Linked DNA regions of Notamacropus eugenii. The protein of the gene in region 1 purifies or fractionates together with the protein of each later gene. This does not show direct contact. Links are inferred from orthologs where the notes say so. Each region holds a gene or a part of one and is shown on either strand. Other genes may lie near its edges.

Region 1 (3,745 bases):
CACACTCCTGGGCAGTGCCCATCCCCAGGGCTGTGATGCCCCTGGTCTTACCCTCCTTGTGCCAAGGCTCCACGGCCCGCACAGCTTCCCTGCCCCCAGCCCCCAGCCCCAGCTCAGACTCAACCCCAAACCCTGAGCCGTCTCTCCATCCCTTCAGTGGCTCTGGGGCTCTTCTGGAGGCCTGTCCACTTGTGGGCATGCTTTTAAAGGATCACAAATTTGGGGACTTGCGTCAGCCCCCAAGCCTTCTGGGTGTGGCAGTCCCGTCAGACCGTCAGACCCTCGAGGGCAAGGCGTGGAGCATACAGCAAGGGCTTCATAAATGCTTAAGGAAACACAGTCCAGGCCGTGGGGGCACCCGAGGTGCCCGAGCCTCCGGCCACTTAGGACTAAAGGACTGTCTCCAGAAGGCCCCAGTGGAGGTGGGGGGAGGAGGCCCTGGGGGGAGGAGGCCCTGCGAGGCGGAGGAGGCCGAGGGGCCGCGGCAGATGCCGAATGCCCCCAGGCCGCCCCGCCCTCCCTCCCTCCGCTTACTCCGGAGGGAGACAGGCGCAGGCGCCGGAGCCGGGAAGCCGTAACTATGACAACGGCTCCGCCCCCGAAGCGGGCGGGGGCGGGGGCGTCCTCTGGGACGCTCTAGGCCGGGCGGGCCGCATCTCGATGGTACGTCGGCGGCGCTCTGGGCGGCCCGCTGCCTCTCGCTGGTGCGCGTGCGTACGTACGGCGGCGCCCTGGGCGGCGCGCACGCGCTCTCGCTGGCACGCCAGGAGGGCGGGCGGACGGAGGCGGCGGCGGGGCCATGGCGGCCGTGCGCGGCCTGCGGGTGTCGGTGAAGGCCGAGGCGGCGGCAGCGGCGGCGGCGGGGCCCCACCTGGGGCTGCTGGGGCCGGGCCCCGAGCGGGGCGAGCCCGAGCCCATGGAGGTGGAGGAGGGCGAGCTGGAGGCCGTGCCAGTGCGGCGCTCGCTGCTGCCGGTAGGACGCCGGGGGTCCGGCCTCCGGGTGGGTGCGCCCCTCAGAGCCTGCCGCCGGGCGCGCCGGGGCCGTTGGGCGGCAGGGAGCGAGGGCCGGGGTCGGGGTCCCCCTCACCGCCCGTCTCGTTCTAGGACACGAGCCGCCGCTACGAGAACAAGGCGGGGAGCTTCATCACGGGCATCGACGTCACCTCCAAGGTAGGGAGGAGCCCTGGAGCCGGCTCACCTGGCTGGGGCTCCCGGGCGGAGACTTTGTTGCTTTTGCCCCCTCCCACAATGCACCTCTTTCTGTTGGGGATGGGGAGCCCAGCCGGAGTCTGTCTACACCCGCTTACGTTGGAGCGGCCAAGGGCTGGGGAAGGCTTCCTGGAGGAGGCCGGGCGGGCGGCGGGGAGGGGGGCGAGGAGGAGGAGAAGGCAGAGCTTTCCAGGCAAAGGTTCGGAGGCGGGAGATGGAGGGGGTGCCACAACGGGCACTCGAGTTCCCATTCTGCCCCACTGGCCAGCTGGGGGACCAGGTCAGTCAGGTACCTGCCTCTACCTTGATATCTCCTCCTGAAAGACAGATCAGGTGAGGAAGCTTAAGGAAGCACGTGCCCAGGTCCTGGCACACAGTAGGTGCTTAATCAGTGCTTGTTCCCTTCCCCCCCCCCCCCCCCCCCGCGGGGTTTGGAAAGGGGAGGGGCTTCCCCACCCTCCTGGCCCCAAGGGTTCTCCTTCCTCGGGGCTCTCCCCGCCTGTAAAGCAGCCCCCATGGGTGAGCCCAGGCTGGTGCCGATGGTCCCTGGCCTGAGAGAACTGGGCTCCCCCCTTGCCCTCTCCCCTCCTCCCCCTCTTCCCTCCCCCTCTTCCCCTTCTCCCTTCCCCCTCCCTCCTTTCCCTCTCCCCTCCTCCCTTGCCCTCTCCCCTCCCTCTCCTTCCTCCCCCTCCCCCTCCCCTTTCCCCTTCCCCTTCCCCTCCCTCCCTCCTCCCCCTCTCCCCCTGCCCCCTTGCCCTCTCCCCCTCCCCTCTTCCCTTCCTCTTCCTCCAGCTCTGCTGGCCTGCCTTGGCCTCAGTGTCATGGGGCCTGTGCACCTGATGCTGTGACATTCAGAACCTACCTCACCTTTTCCTCTGTCAGTCACTTACTAGTGTCCGGCTGGGGCTTGGCATGGGATAAGTAATCGGTAGGTGGGTGTCCAGGTCTTGCCTTTTGCTCAGGACCAAGTCCTGGGCTCTTTGACTGTCCTCTGATAACTCAGGCCACCTAGGCCCCTGCTCCCTGAAAGCTCTGCCCCCTCCCCCACCAGCCTGTGGGGACTCCTGTCCTCCTCACTGACCCAGGAGGCGACATGGCCCACTGTCCAGACCCGAGCATCCAGGGGCCTGGCCTCCTGCACTTGGGAGTGGAGAGGAGGGAGTTTCCGAATAGCGTGGGAGATGAGGTCAAGGGTCAGACTTCATGCTCCCTGCCTGGCCCACCACCAGAGGGGCAGGGAGGCTGAGGCCGGGGGGCTCCGAGTCTCAGCCTCCGCCTTGGCCTCGACCCATCTCATTCTCTGGGGTTCCTCGTGCTCTTTAGGAAGCTATCCAGAAGAAAGAGCAGCGAGCCAAGCGCTTTCACTTCCGAGCCGAAGTCAACCTTGCCCAAAGGAATGTGGCCTTGGACCGAGACATGATGAAGAAAGGTAGGAGACCCCCCACCCCCACCCCCAGCCGAGAGCTGCAGTGAAACTCAAAGGCGTCCTGACGTTGAACCAACCACACTACTGAGGGAAATGAAGCTGGTTTCTGTCTGTCTTGAGGAGGGTAACCTCCAGGCACTGTCACCAATGGAAGGGACCCAGGAAGGCCTAAACTACTTATCTGAAAGTCTGCACTCATCCCTCATTCCCCAGCTGGGAGGGTGTGAAAATTGGGGCTGTGGCGTGAACCCCTGGGTTCCTGCCAGGGTTCCCTGCGATGACAGCGCTAGGTCTCCCTCTTCTTAAGACTCCAGAAACCAGTGACTCCAAATGCCTCCCCTGTGTAGATCTAGACCGTACTGGGTAATCCCTCCATGTGGGTCTTCTTGGAGGTGCAGATCCTTCCCAGCCCACCCAGACCTTCCTTCCAGGTGCTCATGGAACATGTTGGGGGATGGGCTCCTTTGGATCTCCTGATCTCCTTGAGCCACACATAGATCCCTACATATTTCCCTCTTATTGAACAAGTCTGACAGGCTTCTCCTTACCTAACTTCCCATGGTTCTGACCTCACTTGAGCCAAAAGATGAGCCTCAAGGTCACTGATCTAGAGGGATGTGTGAGGAGCCTGCTGATGCCCTCAGGAGACTGGGGACCACATCCAAGGCTTGAGCCCCAGCAACCCAGACCTGGGCTGCCCCCTTCAGATCTAGGCTTTGATTTTCTCCCCTACCTGCTCCAGGTAAAATAAGATGGGGGCCTGTCACCAACATGCCTGGCCCTCTCACCCCCCAACCAAGCTAGTACTAAGGCCTGTCCAATTCACCACCTCTTGTCCATTTTACCTCTGCGCCTTTTCTTGTCCATTCCCCCCCACCCCCCACCATCTCTTGTCCATTTTACCCCCTGCACCATCTTTTGTCCGTTTTACCTGCTGTACCATCTCTTGTTCATTTCACCTCTTCAGCATCTCTTGATTAAGCCCCTTCCCTTATCACCTCATGCCTGAACTATTACAGTAGGTACTGGTGGGTCTACCTACCTCAAATCTTTCTCTGCTCTAGTCTGTTCATTCACCAAAGTGATCAAACTCCAGTGATTCCCTAATGT
Region 2 (3,745 bases), on another chromosome or scaffold:
ACACAGATAACATCACACTGAAAAATGATAGGGAAAGACCTAAGAACTCCAAGGAAACATTGGCCAACCATATCTCCAGTGGTCCCAAGATAGAAGAAATGAGCAGGAGCCAACAAAGATGACCACTGAACATTTTTTTGAAAATATATGAAAAAGAACAGAAGGAAATACAGTTGAGGAGACCAATTTTGAAAGTGTATGTCTTTAAGTGTATGTAATGGAGACTCATGATTTCACATACCAATCCTATTTTGTGTTTTTAATATGTTTATGGAAATGCTTATTATTACTAATAAAAGTAAAATTGAAGAGTGCTGGATTTGACATCAAAGTGCCTGAGTTTAAAACCCAGTTATATCACTTCCTATCTCTGTAGCTCTAATCAGGTCACTTGATCCCTGAGGGTCTTGGGTTCCTTATCTGTCAAATGAGTGGGGTTCACTAACTTCTCAGAATCCCATCCAATCTCTTAAGACTTAGAAATGAGAAGCCTTTAAGACTCTTAAGGTGCAGACAAGGCTTTGATCCTTCACCATTGAAATCATAGGCTATCTAATAAAAATGGCTTGAAGAATGCCTTGCCGGAAATCAGGGATTCTCAGGGATGGAAGTGAGACAAAATACCTTCCACCTCTCAGAATCCCTATTTTCTTTCAAGGCGCAGCTCCAACTACAAGTACCTTCTCTATCTGCGGTTGATGAATAAATGTTATATATCACCATTGCCTGGACCTCTTATTTCCACCCATGCTGACCGGATCTGCTCTGCTTAACTGAAGTTGTGACTCGCTCCTCACACAGCACCACAGGGGGCCGAGGTGGGCTTTGACTCTGTGTCCGCTAGATCGCGCTGCTCCCAACCACTGTCGGGAGCCAGACTAAGCAGAGAGGGGCCACTAGGGGGCAGCAGAGAGCCCCGGCGCGCGCCGCTCCTCCCGCCTGTTTCTCTATGGTATTTGGTGGGCGTGGCTCGGGCTCTCTGGCCGCCGGAAGCGGAAGTCTCGCCGGCTCTCGTTTGGTCCGCGCTGTCGCTGGGCGAGGCGGCGGGCTTTGTTTCCCGCAGTGTTCCGCCCCCGTCCGGTGGGCGTCCGGGTCCTGCTTCCGTCTGCCCCGCGGGAGCCCCAGCGGCCTGTGCGGGCGTCAGCCCGAGTCCCGGGCCGTCCTCAGGTACGTACGCCCCCCTCCCCTCCTCCGCGGGCCCCCACCCGAGCCCCTCCCCAGGACCCCTAACTTTCCTGTAGAACCCTTCCCTCCAACTCGGCCCCCCCCTGCAGGAGCCCCCCCCCCAGCGCCCCCTCTCCCTCCTGAGTCCTTTCCCCAGTGCCCCCTCCCCCACCCGAGCCCCTCCCCAGTACCCCTAACTTTCCTGTAGAACCCTTCCCTCCAACTCGGCCCCCCCCTGCAGGAGCCCCCCCCCCCCCAGCGCCCCCTCTCCCTCCTGAGTCCTTTCCCCAGTGCCCCCTCCCCCACCCGAGCCCCTCCCCAGTACCCCTAACTTTCCTGTAGAACCCTTCCCTCCAACTCGGCCCCCCCCTGCAGGAGCCCCCCCCCAGCGCCCCCTCTCCCTCCTGAGTCCTTTCCCCAGTGCCCCCTCCCCCACCCGAGCCCCTCCCCAGTACCCCTAACTTTCCTGTAGAACCCTTCCCTCCAACTCGGCCCCCCCCTGCAGGAGCCCCCCCCCAGCGCCCCCTCTCCCTCCTGTGCCCCCCTCCCCAGACCCCCTGTCCTGGCTCATCTCTCCCAGACCTCCCCCCGCCCAGGCACAGTCCCCTCTTCAAGTAGTCCTGGTGGCCCCTGGGGCCCCGGATCTAGTACAGACTCCTGGCCTTCGCCAGCCCCAAACTCCTCCAGGTGAACGGCCCAGCCTGGTGCCCCAAGTTGGATTGTGGCCTTTGCCCTTTACCAGACATTTGGTGCACCTGCTGTGAGCCGTGGGCCACCTCCTGCCTCCCTGACTGCCCCTCGTGTTCCCTGTGCTTTAAATAAATGAATGAAAAGCGCATTAAGGCCTTGCTGGCTCTGGCCAGCCCGGGGATGTGTTCCTTCCTCACCTCTGCCTCCTGCATGGAGCCTGGGCTCCCCTCAGACTGCCCCTTATCTCCTTAGGGGGCCTTTCTGAACTAAAGTTCCTGGCGAGTGGGCTGGTTTCCTTGCATTAGTGCTCCCTTCAGAGCCCTGAACAGGGCACCTCCTCATAGCAGGTGCCTAGTAAACACAGTGGGCCGATGGACCCAAGCTGTGAGCCCTCCCCCATTCCCCAGCAGCTGCTTTGCACTTACTTTCACACATGCACGCTGTTTCTCACATTCCAGGTGACTTTAGGTGGGGACATTCCCTCGGCCTCAGTTTCTCCCTATAAAAAGGGGATCTAAGTGATCTATAAAGTCATGTCCAGTTTTAAAACTGGTTCTATGTTCTCTTGCTTTCCTCCACTCTATTGTGTAGACTCCTGAAGGGCAGGAGCCGTCTCAGCTTGTCTTTGTTTTTTCTGAGCCTGGCATAAGGACTCTTAGGGACTGAGTTTTGTGGGGGTTTTTTTGGTCACCTCCAGGGTATCTAATAGCATTTGATTCATGAGATTAGCTGTAGAGCAGGAGTCGACCTTGGGGCTTGTTCAGTGTAACCCTATCATTTTACACATGAGAAAACTTGAGAACTAGAGAGGTTAAATGATTTATCCAGGGCCACACAGGCTCCAAATTCAGTGTTCACTCTCCTGCACCACAACCAGAACTTAATAAATGCTTGAGAGCAAAGCCCCTTCCTTGCCTGAGCCCTGGATGAGAGACAGCCCAAGACTTGCCAGGCCAGGGAGCTTTTGTTCAGTGGGCAGGCTCACTGTTAAGCGAGACAAAGCAGAAGGCTTTACTTTGAAGATGCTCATGTGTTTTTGGAGAGACTCACCATGTAGACCAGCATAGGTATGAACATTGGAAGAGGAGAGAGTGGGCACAATTCACAGGAATATCAGAGACTGCTTCTCTTAGGAGATGGCATGTGAGGTGATCCTTGAGGGAAGGCAGGTATTATAGACAGTGGAGATGAGACAGTGAAAACTTGGGGGGAGTGGGGAGCTACAGCTTAGGCAAAGGCATGGAAGTGAAGAGGCCAGGCCAAATTTGAGGAGTAGCCTTTAGGCCAGTGCTCCCCACGCAGAGCTCCCAAGAATGGCTTTGGAAGGCGGCGGCTGCTAAGTTGTGAAAGTCTTTGAATGCCAAGCTGAGGCATTTGTATTTTGTCCTGGAGGCCATAAGGGCTCTGAGATTCTTGAGCAGAGACTTGTGCTTTAGGAGGCTTATTTTGACAGTCCTATGAGGATGCACTGGATTGGAGGCCAGACAGAGAGCTATTGAAATAGCCCAGGTGAGAAGTACCAGGGTGTGAACTCAATGATGATAAAAGCATTTATGTAGCACTTCGCTTACGTTGACTCACTTGGGAGTGGAGAGGAGTTAAAATCAGGTAGACCTGCAGCTGATTAAATTTGGGGAGAGAGGGAAAAGTAGAGAATGGCTGAGGTATAAGACTGAACACAGAACACTTTAAGTTCTGTACCCATTTTCTGTATATTACCTTATTTGATCCTTGCAGCAATCCTGGAAGGTAGGTGCTATTATTAATCTCCATTTTACAGATGAGGAAACTGAGGCTGAGCAACTTGCCCATTGTCACACAGTAGTAAGTGTCTGGGACAGGGTTCTAGTGCAGGTCTCCCTGATTGCAACTCCAGGACTCCAGTCACTCA

What was found. The genes of interacting proteins can lie anywhere in the genome.
Region 2: the proteins of NCBP3 (region 1) and THOC5 purify together in Homo sapiens (co-immunoprecipitation; 3 studies listed by BioGRID and IntAct, with this or other methods). This does not show direct contact. The link is inferred for Notamacropus eugenii from reciprocal best matches to the Homo sapiens genes NCBP3 and THOC5.

What each region holds. Positions count from the first base shown.
Region 1 is NC_092877.1:388,341,928-388,345,672, reverse strand, and holds the start of NCBP3 (nuclear cap-binding protein subunit 3), read left to right. Parts: upstream 1-784; 5' UTR 785-799; coding exon 800-1,000; intron 1,001-1,104; coding exon 1,105-1,170; intron 1,171-2,532; coding exon 2,533-2,638; intron 2,639-3,745. UniProt on the Homo sapiens protein: Associates with NCBP1/CBP80 to form an alternative cap-binding complex (CBC) which plays a key role in mRNA export. NCBP3 serves as adapter protein linking the capped RNAs (m7GpppG-capped RNA) to NCBP1/CBP80.
Region 2 is NC_092875.1:16,147,050-16,150,794, forward strand, and holds the start of THOC5 (THO complex subunit 5), read left to right. Parts: upstream 1-963; 5' UTR 964-1,167; intron 1,168-3,745. UniProt on the Homo sapiens protein: Component of the THO subcomplex of the TREX complex which is thought to couple mRNA transcription, processing and nuclear export, and which specifically associates with spliced mRNA and not with unspliced pre-mRNA.